Styela clava: one gene and its partner. The protein of the gene in region 2 purifies or fractionates together with the protein of the main gene of each other region. This does not show direct contact. Links are inferred from orthologs where the notes say so. Each region holds a gene or a part of one and is shown on either strand. Other genes may lie near its edges.

Evidence for each region.
Region 1: the proteins of nucleoporin Nup43-like (region 2) and nuclear pore complex protein Nup133-like purify together in Homo sapiens (affinity purification with mass spectrometry; 5 studies listed by BioGRID and IntAct, counting the BioPlex papers as one, with this or other methods). This does not show direct contact. The link is inferred for Styela clava from reciprocal best matches to the Homo sapiens genes NUP43 and NUP133.

What each region holds. Positions count from the first base shown.
Region 1 is NC_135253.1:7,607,720-7,618,552, reverse strand, and holds the start of nuclear pore complex protein Nup133-like, read right to left. Parts: upstream 5,182-10,833; 5' UTR 4,985-5,181; coding exon 4,839-4,984; intron 4,223-4,838; coding exon 4,089-4,222; intron 3,230-4,088; coding exon 3,129-3,229; intron 2,497-3,128; coding exon 2,239-2,496; intron 1,845-2,238; coding exon 1,785-1,844; intron 1,418-1,784; coding exon 1,316-1,417; intron 857-1,315; coding exon 674-856; intron 144-673; coding exon 1-143. Other genes in the region: uncharacterized protein LOC144421998, read right to left, coding at 7,399-7,496, 8,052-8,196, 8,396-8,566, 9,338-9,483, 9,555-9,664, 10,030-10,177, 10,301-10,489. UniProt on the Homo sapiens protein: Involved in poly(A)+ RNA transport. Involved in nephrogenesis.
Region 2 is NC_135250.1:22,085,859-22,095,773, forward strand, and holds the start of nucleoporin Nup43-like, read right to left. Parts: upstream 4,949-9,915; 5' UTR 4,858-4,948; coding exon 4,635-4,857; intron 1,335-4,634; coding exon 1,240-1,334; intron 643-1,239; coding exon 480-642; intron 1-479. Other genes in the region: complement factor H-related protein 2-like, read left to right, coding at 7,206-7,266, 8,053-8,244, 8,606-8,794. UniProt on the Homo sapiens protein: Component of the Nup107-160 subcomplex of the nuclear pore complex (NPC). The Nup107-160 subcomplex is required for the assembly of a functional NPC.

The DNA of each region.
Region 1 (10,833 bases), on a different chromosome or scaffold from region 2:
TTACAGATCACAAATCTTAATAAAGTTCTTCCACTAGAAGATGTTGTTTTGTCACCGATAGCAATTAAAATGACTACATGATTATGTTTTGATCCAAGAGCGATATCAAGTGGATACATTGAAAATTCCTTTGCGTCAACATTCTGTAAACACAATTTAATATTGTTCAAGTATAATCAACATTTCCAATATAATCAAGTAGAATTTAAAAATATAAGATTGGTATGATATTTGAAGAATTATATTGAATTATATTTTTGTCCTAATTGGGTGATTTTTGTCCTAAGTGCCTTTCTTATGGGTGCAAAAATAAAATATTAAATCTTCAACTAAGAAATGATTTTTATGAAGCATTGGCCTTACAAACAAGAGAATATCCTGATGAACATCAACATTCATTCATCAACACATAGCATCATAAAATAAAATCAGAAAAAGCATAACTCTGGTCAGAGATAGCAAATATCAGCAGTAGATAAGCTATACCTTCCTCACACTAAATCACACTTTTTGTAGCCATATACATCAGTTAATATTCGGTATTATTGATATCATGTGAAGGCTGGTAAGAGTAGTATATAAAAAAGGCCAACATTATAAAATTCCAAATGCTAATCAAATTAACTTACCGGTAAAAAAATTATAACAGAAATATACTCCCTAAACAATTTACCCAAATATTTCTTGAAATAGGTTCCCTCAATAAAGTGTTCAGATCTGCTTGTGCCACCATATGATCAGTACCATTCCCAGACCCGATTGATCCAAGTTTCCACTTTTTTAATGAAGAAGAAGTCAACATTATGATTTCAGGTGCCGATCGTGAAGATGTATGCAGCGTTATAAAATTTGTAAGCTAGATAGATATGACAAATTGATTAATTTAAATGCTAAATAAGATATTTAATTTGCTTATGCCAATCAAAGTGAATCTGATTATACAGGATTCAAGGTAGCGCCAAATCAAGGCTGTGATCACTTGCTATTTTCTATATCAGATCAAAGCGAATAAAGAGCCAAGGAAAGTCGATAAAACAGTATAATCATATTTACATAGTGTACCACAGCCTCTCTTCCAATTACCAGTCCATGTCAGACATGGGATTGTTTAAGAACGATGACTCGATGATGGAGAAAGCCATAACCAACCAGCATCCCCACAGTGGCAAGAAGTCGAGCAATCCTCCCGCACATAACTATCCCCACAGAATTCGAACTCATGCATGGTAATCAGAGGTGCGTTAGCAAGCATTTTTCCAAGCATAATGCGCCTGACTGCCAATGTTGATAAAAATTTAATAAAAAGAATAGTCACATCAATTTCTTGACTGGATGAAAAGAAGAAAGATGAAACCCTTCGACCTATTCCTGCCAACATTCCATGAGAAACTTGCAACCTGGCACAATGGACAGAATCCTGCAATATAGAATTCAAATTATTACAGAAATTTTTTTATAAATGATGTGAATCTTACAGTTACTTCAAAGAGAAATATACATATTTTAGTTTGGGAAGAAGATGATCTGAGACATCAAATTTCATTAAAGATGTGAAACAGAGCTTTTTTCAACAATATTTACCCCTTTGTGCCAGCAATGATTTGAGCAAGCGAGACGACCTCTGATTAAATGTAGTATTAAATTGTAAGCAAATTAGTGAAAAATTTTGTCTCCAACTCAATTCCAATTAAAGTAAAAAAGTAAAAAATTAATTTGTTTGACTTTTACACACAAAAGCAGTCCAGTGTGATTGGATAATTAGAGGTATTACTGGTGCGACTTACCAAAGAAGGTATAATATGAAACAATGCTCCTTTACTGGTACCAACAAGATATCCATGCCCCTAAAACACAAACAAATGAGGTTAGTCAATCCCACAAAAACATGAAAACTGATGTAAAATCTAAGAAGCAAGATATTTAAAAAATGTTCTACTAGAGACCTAAATTAGCCGCTCGCTCGAAGAAACCAGGTTACTAGGATTTGCAATATTCAGATCTATGTTAAGCTTCACGACATGGATTTGTCTACAATACATATATATTATTGTTCTACAAGGTTCTACATTGCCACTAGTTATAAAAGTATCTATATTCAAATCATTGGTCAGCTCCACATAGCAAATTCAGAATATCATTAAACCTGACACTATCATAACCCATTTTCTATAATACAGAATACCGTAATGTATGAGTTTTGATAAATAGTAGTAAAGTATATGAACCAAAATTACTCACCCGTACTGAAGCTAATCTAATGCATTCTTCATCGGAAGAATTAGCACCAATGCCATCTAAATTTCCTTCAAGAGTAGACGATACATTTTGAATTATATTTGGCCAGAATCTGACTCCCCCTGCGGGAGTAACCACAAGCAAACTGACAATTCCTTCATCTGGTGAATCGGTGGCTTTCCCAACATAAATTAAACTGGACTTATGCTCGCCATCAGAAGAACTCAGAGGTGGCAATGCAAATTCTTTGCAGAGAGCATTCTGTAAAAACAGAATTTACTCTGAATTTCAACACCAACAGAACATACAAGATAGCGATCAGAGACCGCCGACTTATCGATCTAGCGGCGTGTATTCTTCGCTCTGACTCAATAGCGACAACGAGTGTCCCATCACTAATCAATTATTAACTCGCTAATTATACGACATAATTCATCCAAAATCAATAGGCTTTTGGTGAGATATGATGAATGCATATGCAAAATTTGGAGCAGATTCAACCTCGTTTATCGTGAGATATCGCGTAACTTCGATCAATATCGATGAGATCGTTGTATAATACCACTTTCAATAATTACATATCGAGGGTTTCAAGACAGAAGGGCGAACATTGAAATTCAGAAAAAATTATACTCTACAAAATTACAAACAAATAGATTATTTTCAAGCCGGTGTCTAATCAAAAGTTTGAAGTAATACTTGCCAAAAATATAAATTTGAAACTTGAACACAAAAAATTGTGTTTTAGATTTAGAAAAGTCAAAAAATATTAGTTATCAACTCTAGTTCAAAAAAACAAAGACCAAATCCCGTGAAGAATGTCTACATTAAACACAACTGAATAATATTTCAGTATATAACATAAACTGTGCATAAAATAAAACATGAAATACCTTTGAAACTCCTTGTTTAAATCTCCATACAAAAAGTTTTCTGCCACAAACCAACCAAGCCCATCCATTGTCATTTATTTCAACTGTTATTCGCTCTGATTCTGAAAAAATAATTCAATATTTTTAACACTATTTTTATCATATTTCATGAGTGTGATGTGGCAATTTAGAAATGGCTCTTCCATATTTCTTACACAATTCTCACACAATATCATTTCACATTACAATTTTAGAACAATGTAGAAAATCAGTAAACAACTTGTTTGCAAATATTTAAATAACATGATATAATCATCTTGTATATATACAAGCCAATGCATTCTATTCATTGAATGTATGGAACACCTCGAATTCAAAAAAATTTTCCTCAACCCTTGCCACAAAACAAGTAATACTTGGTCAATAATACTTGTTACTTATCGATCCCGATCGGTAAGTATGTTGATAGGTATTTTTCTGTCTGTTTAAGTGTTAGACACATTTTCCTATGCTATGTGATATCTCACGAAAGCGAGGTTGAATCTGCATACATCAAATCTCGGACCAGACGCCTATTGATTTTGGATGAATTATGTCGTATAATTAGCGAGTTATTAATTAATTAGTGATGGAACATGCGATGTCGCTATCGAGTCAGAGCGAAGGATACACGCCGCTAAATCGATAAGTCGGCGTTTCCGATCGCTATCTCGATTTCAATATAAATAGTAATTCATTCTGTAATTCAACATTATGTTAAAGCGGGTGTAAAAAAAAATAAAACGATCGGCCTAACTAGTAATTTAAACTAGTAATTTTTTAATAATACACATTTTCTACAAAAAAAATGATTATATACTTTGTCAGTCTCCACTTTAATTGTAAATAAAAGTAAATGTATTTCATTCATCAATAACCTGAATAGTTACTAGAAAAAAGTTAAAACTAAAAGACTTCTAGTTACAAGTTTAAACATCTTACTATCTGCAAGGGTGATGGCTTCATTGACAAGAACAGGCAAAGATGATCCAGCAGTTTCAACTGTATAATTTGTCGTATTGTAAACAGTAGAAACAGAAGGTGATCCAAGTATCGAACTCTCAGCTGGAGATGACCTGAAATTTGAAGTTTCACCAAGTTCAGAATTTGTAAATTGTTTATAGTTGTTACATTGCAATGATATTACTATGCATCTGTACTTTGTAAGATACATTGTTTAGAACTGGAAGATGTCCATTATTTATTAGTTCATTATTTTAGAACTGATGTGAAATACAGATTATTTTTATTTTCATTATAAACAACATACATGAAAATTATACACAAAAGTTTGAAAATAATGAACACACCAAAGATTGGGAACATTTTGAAAACTGGCAAAACATTTCAAAAGGTTTAACACGTGAAAACACAGAAATACATGTGCCAGTTTACCCTGTTACCCTTAAGTATTACATAACATTAAAACTTACTGAAAAATAATGGCTCATATTACAGTATTAGATACAAAAAATTAAATTAAACAACAAAGTTTCAAATACTCTATTGCTGGTTGAGAGATGACCAATTTTTTAATGAGCAAAAATATTAAAATATATGGCCAAGTCCACCGAATTAATTATAAATTGCCACCAATTCAGCAATTGCAGAATTGGATGAATGAAACATTATAAATGTAAAATTAAAAGGATTATATATAGCCTATATATATGTGTGTGAAGTACTTCCTACCTTGGATATAAACCAGACCTCCTGACAAGAGATGATTTCGATCCAGTCAGTTGAGAACGCCTTGGGGTCAATGTGAATGGAGCGGCTGAGCGTCTTCGCGAGGACCCAGCTGAACCAGGTGTATGCGTACGGCTAGGGGTAAACATTGTAGTCCACAGGGATATTCAAGTATTGAGATAGCTGATGCTAAAGTCCTGTAGTCGGAGGTAGCTGGCGAAACTCGAATACAGGAATAAGATACCGGTACAGTATCTCGGCATCACAACAATAGCTCAGACCTTTGAATTCAATCCCGCGCGGCGAGCCAGACAGTTGTGACGGCATATCCAAAATAGTTTGCGCATTAGCGCCGGATATATAACCGGCAAAGTTGAGCCGGCACATCTTTTTGCTTGAAGAACGGCTATCTACTTAGACTACAAATGTATTACTTTTTAAATCAATGTTTTTCATAAAATCCGCGCCTGCTTAAAAATCTGAATTAGGGGTCTCCGAGGTAACTAATGAGAAAATTCATTTTCTCATACGCTAACACCAAGAATGAGAATGAGAAAGAGCATTCTGACTATAAAAATTTCATACAGAACCCTAAATATTCTCAAATTTTGTATAAATCTATATGTATTTGTGTGTGAAATCCTATGGACCTTTCCCCGAGCATCGACTTCCTTGTTTATTTCGTGACATTGGCCAATCATGCTCCCTTTTCGCATCCGATCAGACACTTTTCCCACAGATTTTTAGGCGTGGTCGCGAACATTACCTTGTTTTCGCGTTTTTGAACTCTATTCGTTAGTTTTCAGTTGTGTTTCGGAAATTTAAATATAAATCAGATAATTCAATGATCACTCTGTCTTCTAAGGAGTTTTAACTTGATTGCAGTATTAAAAAATTAATGTATAAATAGCTGTGACATACTAGGCTAAAATTTTTTATCGGTACTTTTAAAAAACAGTTGAGTATAGGGAAATCGGGGGTTTAAGGTTGGGGAGTGGTCCATATTAATATTTTAAACAACTTGCAAGGCGACTCAAAATCAAACTCACAACCGCATAATGTCACCTATTAGGCGGTAACATTTGGTCTAAATAGCTCGTCGAAAAGTCTGTATATCGCACTTGTTCATTCATCTAAAATGATTATTCATGCACACACATAGGCTACCACAGAGACGTGATTAAATTTTAAAAAGATAATATATTAATTTTTAGGCGGAAGAAAATATCACAAGGACCCAGCTGGCCACCACAGAGACGTGATTAAATTTTAAAAAGATAATATATTAATTTTTAGGCGGAAGAAAATATCACAAGAAAAATTCTTGCCTCACCTAATTACAAATTTTGCGACGATTGCCAAACTGGATACCGTTACCTGATTTGTTTCATTCTGTGAAAAATAGCCCATTAATTAAGTCCCCGGTTCTACAATAACAAGTTTATACAATACACATGCCATTTCGTGGAACTAACGACTAACTAACGTGGAACAGATCCAAGAGAACATGCTGGTAACGTACTTACACTCGGCGTTTGAGCATGGTCATTATGGTTAGAACGCATGGTTACTTTCACCGATCAGTTGTTCTTTACATGGTTGCGTATTTCGAGTTTATTTTTTCTTATAGAATTGTTTCTTTGCAATATTTGCTGCTTGAATTCTGCAACGCACGATGACATTCTGAGTCTTTTGCGCCATGCATCATTAACTGCTATGAGTCAATGTTTTTTTGATTTTGTTAGGTTTACTTTATCATATGTGGTTATTGCTTTACATTGATTCTTGCACAATGAAAATAAATATCTAAACCTGGTCAGTTACGAACTTGCTCACGAATTATCTAGCCACTGGGAATCCGTGACTTCAAAAATCTTTCCCTCGGGTTTTTATGGTTCACTTTGTTCCTGTATATCTGATCTTACAAATCCAATAGCAAGCATGCATTACTAATTTTAATATCCATTCCCAATGAAAGGATTTTGTTACCGACCGATGCAAGCCTTTTCAATAAAAATATCATTTTTGATGTACATTGATTTAATGTTTTTCGCTTTGTGAAAACCAGCATGTTTCTTCCATAATTTTGACAAGAACTTTGGATACATTGGTCCAAGCCTATTCCTTTTTCAAGGTATTACGAAATGTTTACGCACAAGCAACCTCTTGTGCACTCGAGTCAGATAGCTCAATACCCCTGCAGTGTTTGGCAAACTGTGAGTCGCAGAGCATTTTCTAGTGGGCCTCCAATAAATTCAATCCAATCAATATTTACCGCTCGTTCTATCAGTAGATTGTATACACTTCTAATTCAACTCATTTCTAATTGGGAAAGTCAACATTGGGCAATAACTTCAGACTGTACACATATCTATCGAGCAAAAATATATAAAGTAGGCTACTATATATTTAAGTACATTTTATTGGGAAAAGCAATGCATTCAGAGGTATAAATAGCTATGATAGATATACTGTGAACAGACTATTCAGAAATACAGAATATATTCATCAGGTTCATGATCATGTTTTCATAATTATATCAATCAGTGTTTACAAAAGATATTCAATCTTGACAATGAACTGTGACTGTGTCTTTAGTAATCAAATCTTCATCATCAGTTGGACTTGGTGGGAAGTATCCATGAGGATATTTATCAATATCTAAAAGTGAAACAAAATGATCAATTAAATGGAAATATAATCAAGACTACCCCTTTTTTACTCACTCCACACTGAGCTGATAATGAATTGCTGTACTCAATATATTCTAAAAATAGTTTATATATTTGAAACTGCCGAACAGGCGACTGTAATTGCCTGCCACTTTTTTATCCTTTTCTATAACATCATTATAAAGTCATAGTCAATTAATCATGAGTTGAAATGAAAACTATACAACTTGAGGTGCCTAAAGTTTAGGTCTTGGATTATATCAACAAGTATATCGACGGCAGATATGAAATTGACACTGTCACGCTTGAGTATATCATAACCTGTGACAAACAATAACAAAATAGAAAATTTAATTATCGGAAGCAAAGATAGATTTTATAGAAAATGTGTATGTCATGAAGCGATATGTTATTTTTATGTACCACTTCTATTTGAACTAAATAACAAAAATAGTGTATGGACACATACAAAGAACATTTTCAAATCATCAAACAACTCAACCCTGAAAACTTTCACTTAAAGTCAACAATTTCCATAGCTTACCATCTGAGTGAAGTGGGCATCCATCTATTTCTAATTTGAAGCATATAGTTTCAGCATTGCCTTCAATTGCAATTCCATGATATACAATCGATATATTAATGAACTGAGTCATTATTGGAATTTCAAGTGGGTGAAAAAGCCTCAACTGCAAAATATAATTCATTTATTTAAAATGCTTAATAAAAGAGAAAATATTAACTTATATGTACCAATTGTGTTTTCATAAAAGTCATTTGGTAGAGTATTCTAGAAAATGCAAGTGATTGTATTTCAAATACCTACTCTGGTATTAAGTAGCTGAAAGTAAGTGATATGTAAATCTACAAGCAATATATATAACATACTTGGCTAATTTCAAAAGATATTCCAAATAAGTTTTCTTCATCAATCCCATAAACGATATTAGCTACTGAAAAAGAGCTATTTATATCTGTAGAATTGGTGAATCCATTCATTGTACCGAGTAGACCGATGAGATAGACTTTTGCAAGAACTGTCAGGTCAATGTTGATATGCTTCAAAAAAACAAAATGATATTGAGTTTATATTTTTACTCGTAACATTATACACACATGTACTTGCACGTGGATACTTAGTGCTAGGGTCTTGAATAGATTGTTAGCGAACAATCAAATAGTTGATATCACAATGTCCAATCTTATTATTATCAGCCTAATTTGGTTGTGAGTAATTAATTTGGATACCCTGGCCATTGAATGGTACAGCAAGCCTTAATCAATATCAATTGCATAAGCCATCATGCTATCATCGAAAGTTCTGTTCTATTTATGCACATCACTGCAAACCCATACAAGACATTTAGTAGTAGAATTCAAATTGTTTTTTCAACTCTACAAGATATCCTGAACTGTAACTGAACGAATTTAACAAAAACTAGAAAAGGTAATAAATTTTATAACAAAAATATATTATAAAAAATGCTTGAAAAAGTTATAATTAGAAAATTGACAAAATAAAATAATACTCCACAAGTGGTGATTCTGAAATGAAAGATGTGAGTTTTGAGTTGTGCAACCTTCAGAATTTAAGATTTTTTTACCTGACTGCAAATGAACTACCGTACTATCTTAAAACATTGACTCTAATATCACATTTTCAAGATACCTGTAAAAAGCTGTCCTTCATGATATTTTATCTATAACATACTCAAATGTATGAACTCAGGAGAAGGTGACTTTATATGAATGATTGGATGGAGTAAAAATGTTAGTGATCGTAAATAACCATAATACAATGAACATGGAAATAAATTAGGTATATCTCACCATGATTCCCCCAGATTGTGATAATCTGAAGCAATAATCTGTATTTTCTTCATTATGAATGGTATTTTGATGATCCTTTGATATATTATGCCTCAAAGAAACGTAGAATGATCCAATTGTTTTTATGATAGGTTGAATACAGTTGTCTAAATAGAATTATGTGAACTATCATATTCAGTTTAGTACTTATTGATCAAAAATAGTTTCTAAATCTAACCTTGCATAATTTTCCTTTCGAAAAAGTCATAAGTTCCAGAGTTTTGCTTCAAAACCACAGATGAAATAGAAAACAGATAATAACACATTGTGCCATTAAAAAGAACATATCTGTAATTCCATTTTAACATAAAAAGCTTGATATTAATGAATTACACTCAGATAAAATTAGAAAAAAATGAATAAAAAGTATTCAAAATGGAAATAATTCAAATAATAATAAATTATTGTTACAGACAGAAACTAAATATGCATCAAGTTGCCTAAACATTCTCAACAGGCACTTGAAGGAGGCTCACATAGAATCAAAATTTGGTTTTGTTGAAGTCAATATTTTTGTCATCCAGGAGATGGCTCCGACTTGGGAGTTGGGTGGAGAAATTTATCCTGATTACATAGAATTGATAATAACGATAATCATATAAACAATATTTACGGTAAATGAAAAATAGTTTAAATCATGAAGCTCACATTACCTGCACTGTTTTGTTACTGTTGTAACCTTCATACAACTTTCCATGCAATGTTCGATATTTTGTGTCAGAAGAGAGTAAACATTTAACAATGCATCATTACCGAGTTCAGCCTTCATATTTCTTCCAAGATGATAAAATTCAGACTTGACTAAATGGTATAACAAATTTTCTCTAATTAACTAAGATCCGACACTGCTGCTTATCATCAAATTCAGAACCAAAATAGTATATTAGCTTAATTGATTTAATGTCTCAAACTATTAAATCTGACCTGATTTAAGAATGGCAGGATATTCACAAATGTAATAATTTTCATTATCACAAGGTTCAGTTTCCCAGTGAATTCCATAGTTGCAAGTCATGACAGCACACAAATCAGCATTAAATTCTTGATTTTTCAAAAAATGGTGATACCGAACAAAAGATCCATCTATCCACTCTGCTAAATTATCCTTTATTCCTGCAAAATAAATCGAAAAAACATTTAAGTCTGATATCCTGCTTCAACAACTTGTAATATATATTTTGATTCATGTTATGCATATGTTATAGAAAATACGATGTGGAATAATATTTTCAACTGTTTTTTCTATATTCAACTGTTGCTCATTGCAAAAAAATCTGATTTATTTTACAATACTCATTTAAAATTTTGTTCAAGGTAAATGTAACCTATTGGAAAGCAACAGTAATATCAACGGGCTAAGCGTTAGGAATACGCTCCCCACCGCACCTCTAATTACTCTGCGTGGGTTCGAATCCCATGCAGGGATGGTTATGTGCGCGAGGATTGCTGGACTCCTC
Region 2 (9,915 bases):
ATATGGAACAAAAAACACTCCCTAACGTAAAATGGTGATGCTGTAGGCCTAGTTCAATTTCATTGCAAAAATAACACAGTGACAAATAAATAGGATTTACATATTCATCTCAGAGAAGAGAAAAGGTCTCATAAGCAAAGAATGCAGGTTTTTATCTCGCTAAGAGAGCAGAAAGGTGAACGAATGGATTAATTGCACAGTTGTTCAGTAGTGGCTTCTGCCACCAGCTAAGTCTTTATATATGCAACACTGAAATAACCAGCTATCCAAAAGATATGCTGTGACTCTTTCTTATTTGGCAGTTGATGACCGAGAATACAAGTTACACGGATAAAAACAAAGCTTTGAGAGCTTATAGGGTTGATTAACATGATTCAGTTTACAAGAATGAATACAGTCGATTATTGAAATGGTTCAGTTGCCAAATAAACCCATATTAAATTCGAACTATTCTCCCGATCTATGTAGCAGATAATTACCAAGTTTTCTCAGTAGCCTATCACTTCCAATTCTCATCAAATTAATATTTCCATCTTCTCCAACAGTGACAAAATCAGGTATACTGACATCAACCCCAGTACATGGTATTCCGTTTCCAGATATATGGTGCATTCCCTTCCACTCTTGTACTATATCTAGCATCTGGAAATGATGCCATAACAGTTATGATGTATTAGAAAATATTGATTTTAGATAGGTGTGAAGAACAAAACAAAAAAATTGATATTTACAGAATGAAGGAGAACACAAGCCACAATGTATTTGCAGCCAGGATTGGACCTAATTATAGGACGTGTAGGATAAAAATCTCAGTTTACCAGAAATATTCAAGACCTTTCAGAAATAGTAGCTCCTGAGTACAGGAGCTGGCAGTAAGTATAAGGCTGAGAATTGAGAAAGATTGAACATCGGCATACAAGATGCCAGAAGGCTTGGCCTGATGACCCTTAAATTAGAATAGGCAATAATTTTTGACACATTACCATTGAATGAGTGAGTTTATTAACCTATGTTCGAAATTATCTGAAACAAATTAATCTTTTAGTGAAGGGTAAGCGAAAGAGGAATTGTTTTTATTCAAAACAACTGCACAATACAAACATTGAAACATCGGTACTTACTTATTTAATAACAGAATTGGAACAGATGGTTATATAATTTCATACATTTCAATCCCAACCCAAATAAATGTCATTTAGTGATAGCTCTGTAGTTTTTATATAGAGATACCATTCATACCTGAGATACAGAATATTTAAGCAGCACAACATCACCATTCCCCAATCCCGCAATGACTGTGTCTGGATCAGCAAAAGTGAGCGAGTCAATATTACCTGAAATAAGAAAAAGTTACTACATATTAGGATAATAAGTTAAAAAAACATGAATATGAAAAGATCACAATACGTGAATTCAGCAAATGCAGTAGGGCACAGTTCTTCGATTCGAAGAATAGCCCCAACATTAAAAGAAATTAATTATAAAAGTGAGTGCCACTTCTTTGAGAGACAGTCTGGGCCTCCATATCCGCAAAATGTCGCTGCGCAATTAACTAAACGAAAGCAAAAAATAATCTGATTTGCTGAAGGAAAAAAGATAGACAGTAGCATTCCAGGGTTTTCGATAAAAAAAATCATAAATTTGGCCACATGACAGCTGACGCACGTCGCGATTGATTTAAATTATTACAGAAACAAAAATGGCGCGATGTTACGTATTTGCAGTCGTGCCAAGATACCCTCGTTTCAAAGACCAATAGAGTTTTTTTTTATTGAACCAAATGTTGGGACATCTCGAAATGACAGAACAGTGCCCTACTGAAATGAAAACTCCACAAAAAGATTTATGGCAAAGCAAGGCTTTCATCCCATTGCTCATGTAGGTCAGATATTGCTGTATTGAGGAGGGGCCGAGGTTAATCTGTTATAATTTCAGGGTGATGGCTGATAAAGTGAGCCTGTTTTATGCATGATATATTCCATCCCCGACCTAATGCACCATTCAAAATTCCTGTAATCAATGTGCCAGTCAAATTAACAGTATTGTATTTAAAATCCACCACTATTTTGGTTACAATTGTATATTTAAGTTATTATTTAATGTTAATTTGTTTCTATTATGGTACCTAATTTTTGAGTTTTAAATCACCGTAATTTTTTAAATACCAGTAAAAGGATTTAAACTGTTATGTTATGACATATATAATTTTATTACCCTTCATAGAACTTCAGGTGCAGAGGTATGCTGGTATGGAAATATTTGAACCAATAGACTAAACCAGGGGTCACCAAACTTTTTTGACCGCGGGCCGGGTATGACTCAAATTGTGTTGAAACGGGCCGGATGAATATTTTTGTCAATGCAATACAATAAATCCACAAAAGTTGGGAATATCGCAGAATATAGATCGAGAACAACCTAGGAAAAAAAAATTAACAAGATTTCTATATCTAGACAACTATCCTGAGTTTAGCTGTTATCAAAACGTTGCTTTCATGAATTAGAAATGTTACAAAATCCGCGGCAAAAAATGTTCGCATCACGTCTACCGTTACGCCGTGTTGAAATACCGCTCATAAAAACGAGTGCCTGCTGTAGCTTGGAATTCTATGAAATTTTGACATAATTTAGATAAAATAAACAACTATTATCTGGTATTTGAATTTTTTCATTAGCGCATAAATTTCCCAACATTCGACGCTTTTAAAAATTACTCTCCAGTTATACGTAGTGCAAATTAATGATATTGTCTACGGACACCAATAAAATTTATATGGACGTGTGTATTTCTTGTCTAACTTGATACTTACCAATTTTTATGAAGTTCGTACAATCAGAACATCGTTAATTATTACCCACAATGAACCACTGTCAAACTATCATGCACAACTCCAGCGTTTATTTGCGACGATCTTTCGGCGGTGTCAATGACCGTTGCCAGAATAAAATCCTGAAATAGTCTCAATATACCATAGATGTGACGCACATCGAAAGATTAGTGATTGATATGTGTTATTTTTCCATATTTAGTTCAGTTCTTATCAAAAAAGTAAAACAATCATTATGGAAAAAATTGGCTGTCGGGCGGTACTAAAATTCCGATATCTCCGTTATTTCTTGACCGTTTATTCCAAACTTGGTATTGTTTTCTATTTTTACTCAGATCTTTCCACTGGAGCAGTTTTTATTCAAGTCGGATGAACTTCAATTTTTTTGTAACATACCTACATGAATATCCGCATTAAAGCAGTACAAAAGTTAGTGTGGCTTTTGAAATTGGAGCAGTACGCGAGGGATTACAGTAATGTTAGCACAAAATGCACATTTGACGTTTATTTTAGCACGAAAAACAAACAGTTTCGTCGAAAGCAAGCGCCACGAGTGTACAAGTGTATCGCGTACAAGTGTAAAACGTTACGTACTAGTAGCATTCAAAGTCGCAAAAACGAAGTTTTGTTTACAACCACGACTGAAAATCTGTCAGAGTGACAAAAGTGTCTGAGCGGATGCGGAAAGGCCTATTATTACGTCACTTTTCTGCATCTTGCCGATTGGCCAATGTTACGAAATAAACAAGCACGACGATGCTCGTGAAAATCTTCCTTGGAAAAAAATTTAGCCATTTTTGCGTGTTATTGCGGACCAGATAAAATGACGCCGCGGGCCGGATAAAATGACGTTGCGGGCCGGATCCGGCCCGCGGGCCGTAGTTTGGTGACCCCTGCAATAGACTAAACCAGGGGTCACCAAACTTTTTTGACCGCAGGCCAGGTATGACTCAAACTGTGTTGAAAGGGGCCAATATTTTTGTAAATGCAATATAATAAATAAACAAAAGTTGGGAAATCCATTCAATTTATTCAAAAATATATATTCTACAATTCTGAAGATTTGAATATCAAATTCTATATCGCAGAATATAGATTGAGAACATCATGGCAAAACAAATATACAAGATGTCTAGATCTTGAAAACTATTCTGAGGTTAGCTGTTAGCAAAACATTGCTGTCATGCATAGCCGCATGTAAGCAGTACAAAAGTTATTGTGACTTGGTAGAATTACAGCACTATTAGCGCAAAATGCACGTTCCACGTTCATTTTAGCACAAGGAACGTACACAGTAACAGTTTCGCCTAAAGCATGCGCCAAGAGTGCATCCTTCGCAAAAACTGTTGCGTACTGGTAGAGAATTTTAGCCTTTTATATAACAGCTATTCCTAGAATAATTTTGGATTACTGCAATTACACTACAACTCCTAAAAAGGAAAAATGATGATTGACTTATTCGATTCATACTTAAATTTCCGAAACACAACCAAAAACCAACGAATAACATTTAAAAACTGTCTGAGTGGATGCAAAAAGGCTTATTGTTACGTCACTTTTTGCATCTTGCTGAATGAACAATGTTAAGAAATAAACAAGGAAGTCGATTCTCGGGGAAACATCTCATGGAAAAAAATTTCGGAAATAACTTTGTTTGTGTTGTTGCGGGCCAGATGAGAGGACGCCGTGGGCCGGAACGGTCCCGCAGGCCGTAGTTTGGTGACCCCTGGACTAAACAGATATCGAACTTCAGCAACTTGTTTTGTATAAAAAATGAGCTTAATATAATTTGATGTTTATATCTACCTGGTACCCTGCATTTATGAGCGCATCTCAACTTATCAGTTTCCAAGTTTTCATCTTCAATGGCGTCTCCTCCTTGCACCGACCAAACATTGATTGTATTTGTCTTGTTTTCCCAGCTCCCAGTTATAAAGACGTCGGGTTTCTGTAGACTCGATCGAGTGGGTCTCCATCTTACTTTATTTATTTTTTGCGACACAAATTTCACGTATTGAGGATCACCCATAGCAATAAACAGAGATAAAGGCAAAATATCTGGAAGTAAAATACAGAAAGAAACAAAACGGGCTTCAGAATTAGCGGCAAAGTGGAATGACGGGGAACTCCCTTATCACGGATGATGGGAGTTGTAACCGGCAATTGAGTCCATAATTAAAGCATTGTAAATTAACAAAAACTAATTTTAAGATTGCAAAAATAAGACATAAAAAATGCAAATTTTGTTTATTCAAAAGTCATTTTGAATACAGTCTCCTTGTTCAAATGGCTCGACTGGGTGGCGCATGGTACTCCTGCGTCCTGCCTCCCACCAAAGCGTATAGGCTGCCATAACGTCCTTATTTCTAAGATTTGTCCTTATTTTGACATGTGTCCTTATTTTTGTCTTTATTTTATGTGTAAAGTTCAATTCGAATGAATGATTTGCTAGAAATGCTATTTTACAACCTCATTGTTTGCTACGCGCTCTCATTACTTGATAACAGCGAAATAATTGACACAATGACAGCAACAAAAAAATAGCCTACCGGCCAAAATCAGTTCGTGTAACTTGAATCAAAATATAACTTAAAAGTCAGATGGAACAGATAGTTTCCAAGAATAAAGAACTGCTGGAGCAAATTTTTTCTAGTGCAAAGTATGATTAGACACGTGTCGCACTGGCGTGAATACATTTTGTTTATAACATTTCGTTCTTTGTTATTCCATTATTATGTTTCCCCGATGTCCTTATTTTTGGGTTCATATCGATGGTAGCCCTGCATATAACCCACGCAACCGCACCTCTGATTACCCTGTATAGGTTTGCAGTTTCGAACGCCGACCCCTGGCGTAGGCGATAATTCAGTGCGGGAAGATTGCTGGACTCCCCGTAGCCATAGGGTGGTTCACGTAACCGCTGGTCGGTGGTGACTTTTGACTCAATTAATTGCTTACTAAATACACATCTAGAGTAGGATAAAGTTTTTTTGATATATGGCAAAAAAATGAAGACTACGATAGGAATCGATACCTTACGTTACATGTAATGAAATATTATGGAACTAGCGTATAGTCTCAAATATAATAAGTTATATAGAAAACCGAAACAATTTACTCAATCGTTCATAAATAGAGAAGATACCTAAAAATGAAAGCAATATGTTATTTAAAGAAGAAACGGTACAGTTTCATTTACAAATATTGCAAATTCAATTTAGCCAATCTCGTTTGTTTTGTAACCTTTCACTACAAATTTTAAGTGAAATAAAAGTAAAAATGTTTTGACTTGATACAAAAATTGTTATCCAAATTGGTTAAAATGTTTTGGCTCGTCAATAATCCGATTTTTGAGTAAGCGTACCCTTACATCTTGGTAGACTGTTATTAACAGCGCATTGACAACTTAATTAGCGGCTTTTTTATTAAGCCATATTAAAAATAAATTTCAATATTACTATGAAATTGTGTGTTTATGTTAACGGAGTTTTAATTGAGCCTCAAAGGTTTGTTTAATAACATCACTATGCGGCCCATCGACAGGGTAAAATGCTTTATGAACAGAATTTTTTTACCAAGTATTGATTGTTTTATTGCGAACTTTCATAAAAACGTGGTATGAGTAAATACGAACAAAAAATAAACTAATTTGGATGATTACGTAAGCCCGGGGCATGATGTCTTAAATAAATCTAGATAAGAAGCACAATACAAATTATTTTGTGTCTAAAGCATTTTCTTAAAATATGTACATAATTATTTAAAACATGAAACACATTTAGATTTAGATGGATATTTCAATGCCTTATGTCTATCATAAAGCAACTTGACAAATTCTGTAGCATGAACCATAGCGTTCAATTTCTTCATTTCATTATTGGGGGATGTGGAATAGACAGTTCGGTTTTCCGTATGGACGCAGGTAGATAAATGCTCCTTATATAAATGTTATTGATCATCCATGAATTCTGGTGATTTTAAAATACTTTGGTATGCTTTGAACCGTCGCAGAGAGAGGGAGAACTTTTTTCCCTATATTTACCCAATTGACCTTTTCGCAAGATATTTTGGTTGTATTGCATATTTTGGTATTTTTGTTACAAGAGTTCGTTACATACATTTGTTGTCTTTTATTAATAATCCATGTAATTTCCCTTCACTACCTGTACCAACGCGTGTTTGGCAACAGGATATTATCACTTTGATTATAGTTTTCTAATCGGCGATGTCGTTGTCTTGTTCCGCGGATTTTTTGTGCAAATCGTCCACGATATAAGCCCGCAGGGAAAAGAAGTCTAATATTATAGTGCTGTTCCATTTTTATACTTGACATTGATATAATACATCTGGAGCGAGCGGTCGAATATCTGGATAAAAATGGAAAGAATCCGAGATTTATTTGCACTTGTAGTTGCCATTTGCGTTATACAACTTTCAGGTATTTATTTATTTTTTGTTTTATTTTGTACACGTTTTATAGAAAATTTTAAGTGGAAAAATTCGGCTGCTGCAGAATTAGCAATGATGTGAAAAGCACACAAAGTAAACCGCTGGTGAACAGCCAAATATGGATATAAGAAAAAATGGATAAACTATATAACATTTAGTAGATATATATGCTTATTTGTATAAGCTTCGTAGTGTCAGTCATTTTCTAGTGTTTAAGTCTACTTTAAACATGTTCGCTTTAATATACTTTATATATATATATATATCATTTTATATAAATATTATACACCATACTCGAGACATATCGCAATGTTATGAGTGATATCAAACTCTAAAAAAGAATGATGTACAAAATTGCATCAAGTTCGAAATTTTTATATTTCAATATTACGGATAGCCTGTCTTAGTCTGAAAGGCCGATTTTCCATAACACTTCAGCTAATTATTGATTTCAAAATTTTTGTTCAATATATATACTATTTATTTGAAAAAGAATCAGGAAATAAAATATTTTCATTTTAATACTATTCTTATGAATTTGTTAAACAACTTTATTTTTGTATTCTAAACTGAATATAATTGATTTCTGTCACGCTACAGCATTTATGAACGGATAAAAAAATTTCATCTTTAAATAGAAGTTTGTGTTGAATCTTCATTTAACTACAAATATTGGTTATTAACGACTGCAAAGCAATGGTGTAGTGCTGTAATCAAGGAAATACCTTTGATATAGTATCACATATCACATATTTATATTACAAATTGATTTCAGATGCAGCATGTCAAAAACCTTTGATCAAAAATGGCTACGTGCTTCCTGATTATGGACAACAGAAACTTTACAGTGCAGGAGAAAGGGCCATGTTCTCCTGTTTTTTGGCCCTTCGACGTATAGGACCAGCATATGCTGTATGCCAGGGCAATGGACAATGGACTGAAGTAGCGACATGTTTCAACCCACAAAGTACGACGCATTTTTGTATGACTTATGGTTTTAGTTGATCATGACTATGCAGCGGGTGATAAAAATCTCGTTGGTTTGAAATGATTAAAATTTTGTGGGATAATCCGAATTCCCTGAAATATTTAAATTAAAAAAGAACCTTATTAATACAGTTAAAGGTTATTCATTTTCGATTGATTACTGTTACAAAACAAAAACCAGATTTGGATAAAGTTTGCAAATATCAAATCAATATTGAAAAAAATATATTATCAGTAATGTCTCAATTCCCATTTTTTCAACCTCAGCTGAAAAATAAAATAAAAGTATTGGAGTCTGGAAATTTTCTTTTACTGTATTCAACAAATATGTATACATACAGAGTTTTGTCCGCCCGAAGAGGCAGAGATAAAAAATGGATCACCCTTAAACGGGCCCATTCAAGGAAAATTTTACAATGGAATGGCTGTTCACTACATTTGCAAATACGGTTACAAACTTCCAAGTCCACGGCAATACAAGAATATGTGCAAAAATGGAAAATGGGAATACGTTAAACCGGAATGCAAAGGTATATATTTACAGTTCTCTCTTTTGTTACTTATCGATCTTAAAATCGGTAAGTATGTTGATAGGTATTTGTCTGTCTGTCTGTGTGTTAGATGCACGCGATATCTCACGAAGGCGTGGTTGAATCTGCTCCAAATTTTGCATGTGCATTCATCATATCTCGGACCAGTAGCCTATTGATTTTGGATGAATTATGTCGTATAATTAGCGAGTTATTAATTAATTAGTGATGAAGAGATCTGGATTTTTACAAAGCGAGAGATTTTCGAGACGCGCTGAATGTGTGTGTGCATGTCCGATGCGCAAGTTTTCACGCTAGTGAGCCAGAGAGAAGGATACACACCGCTAGATCGTATCTCGTGATTAATCTTTGAGCATTGTCCATATCTCTCTTGTAACTTTGACGTCGTCGCGATGCGCAAGTTTCCTTCGAGAAATTTTCCACGCTATTGAGTCAGAGCGAAGGATACACGCTGCGAGATCGTATCTCGTTACTTATAATTACTCTTTAAAGTTTAAGCAATGTCCATAAACCTCTATGTCTATCAGGTTAGGGGTTGCAGAATTCCTCACCAAAATATCGCTAGGCTGTGTTTGAATAGCCGTCGCAACCCGGGTTAGCGATGTTGTATTTGACACAAAATATAGGATTGGTAAATAGGCTATTGGCTGGAAACTAATCGAAACAATCCAGTTCCGATTTGCAGAATTCTTCATAAAAGTATTTCCTCGAGTAGTATTTTGACGACGACATGGGGAGTTGGCTATTGTTTCCTACATTTTTGATATTGGCTGAAAACTATTCAAAACAATCCAGTTCGGGTTTGCAGAATTTTTCGAATTGAAACTGCAGTTTCTGTTTTGGGGGATCCCCTAACTTTCGATCGATAAGTCTTCGGTCTCTGACCGTTTCCAACCGAATTCTAGTTTTCATTTTCTTGGTGTTCTTCTTTCTTTAGGCTAGCTTCTTTTTCTTTCATCCAACTTTTATATTTTTCGTCTGCGTTCGACGCTTCCACTTCATCATATTCTTTTTTTTTTCGTTTTTTTTTTTTTTTGTATTCATTCCTTTATTTTTTCATACTTTTCATTTCATTTTTTCTTCTATTTTCTCCGTTTATC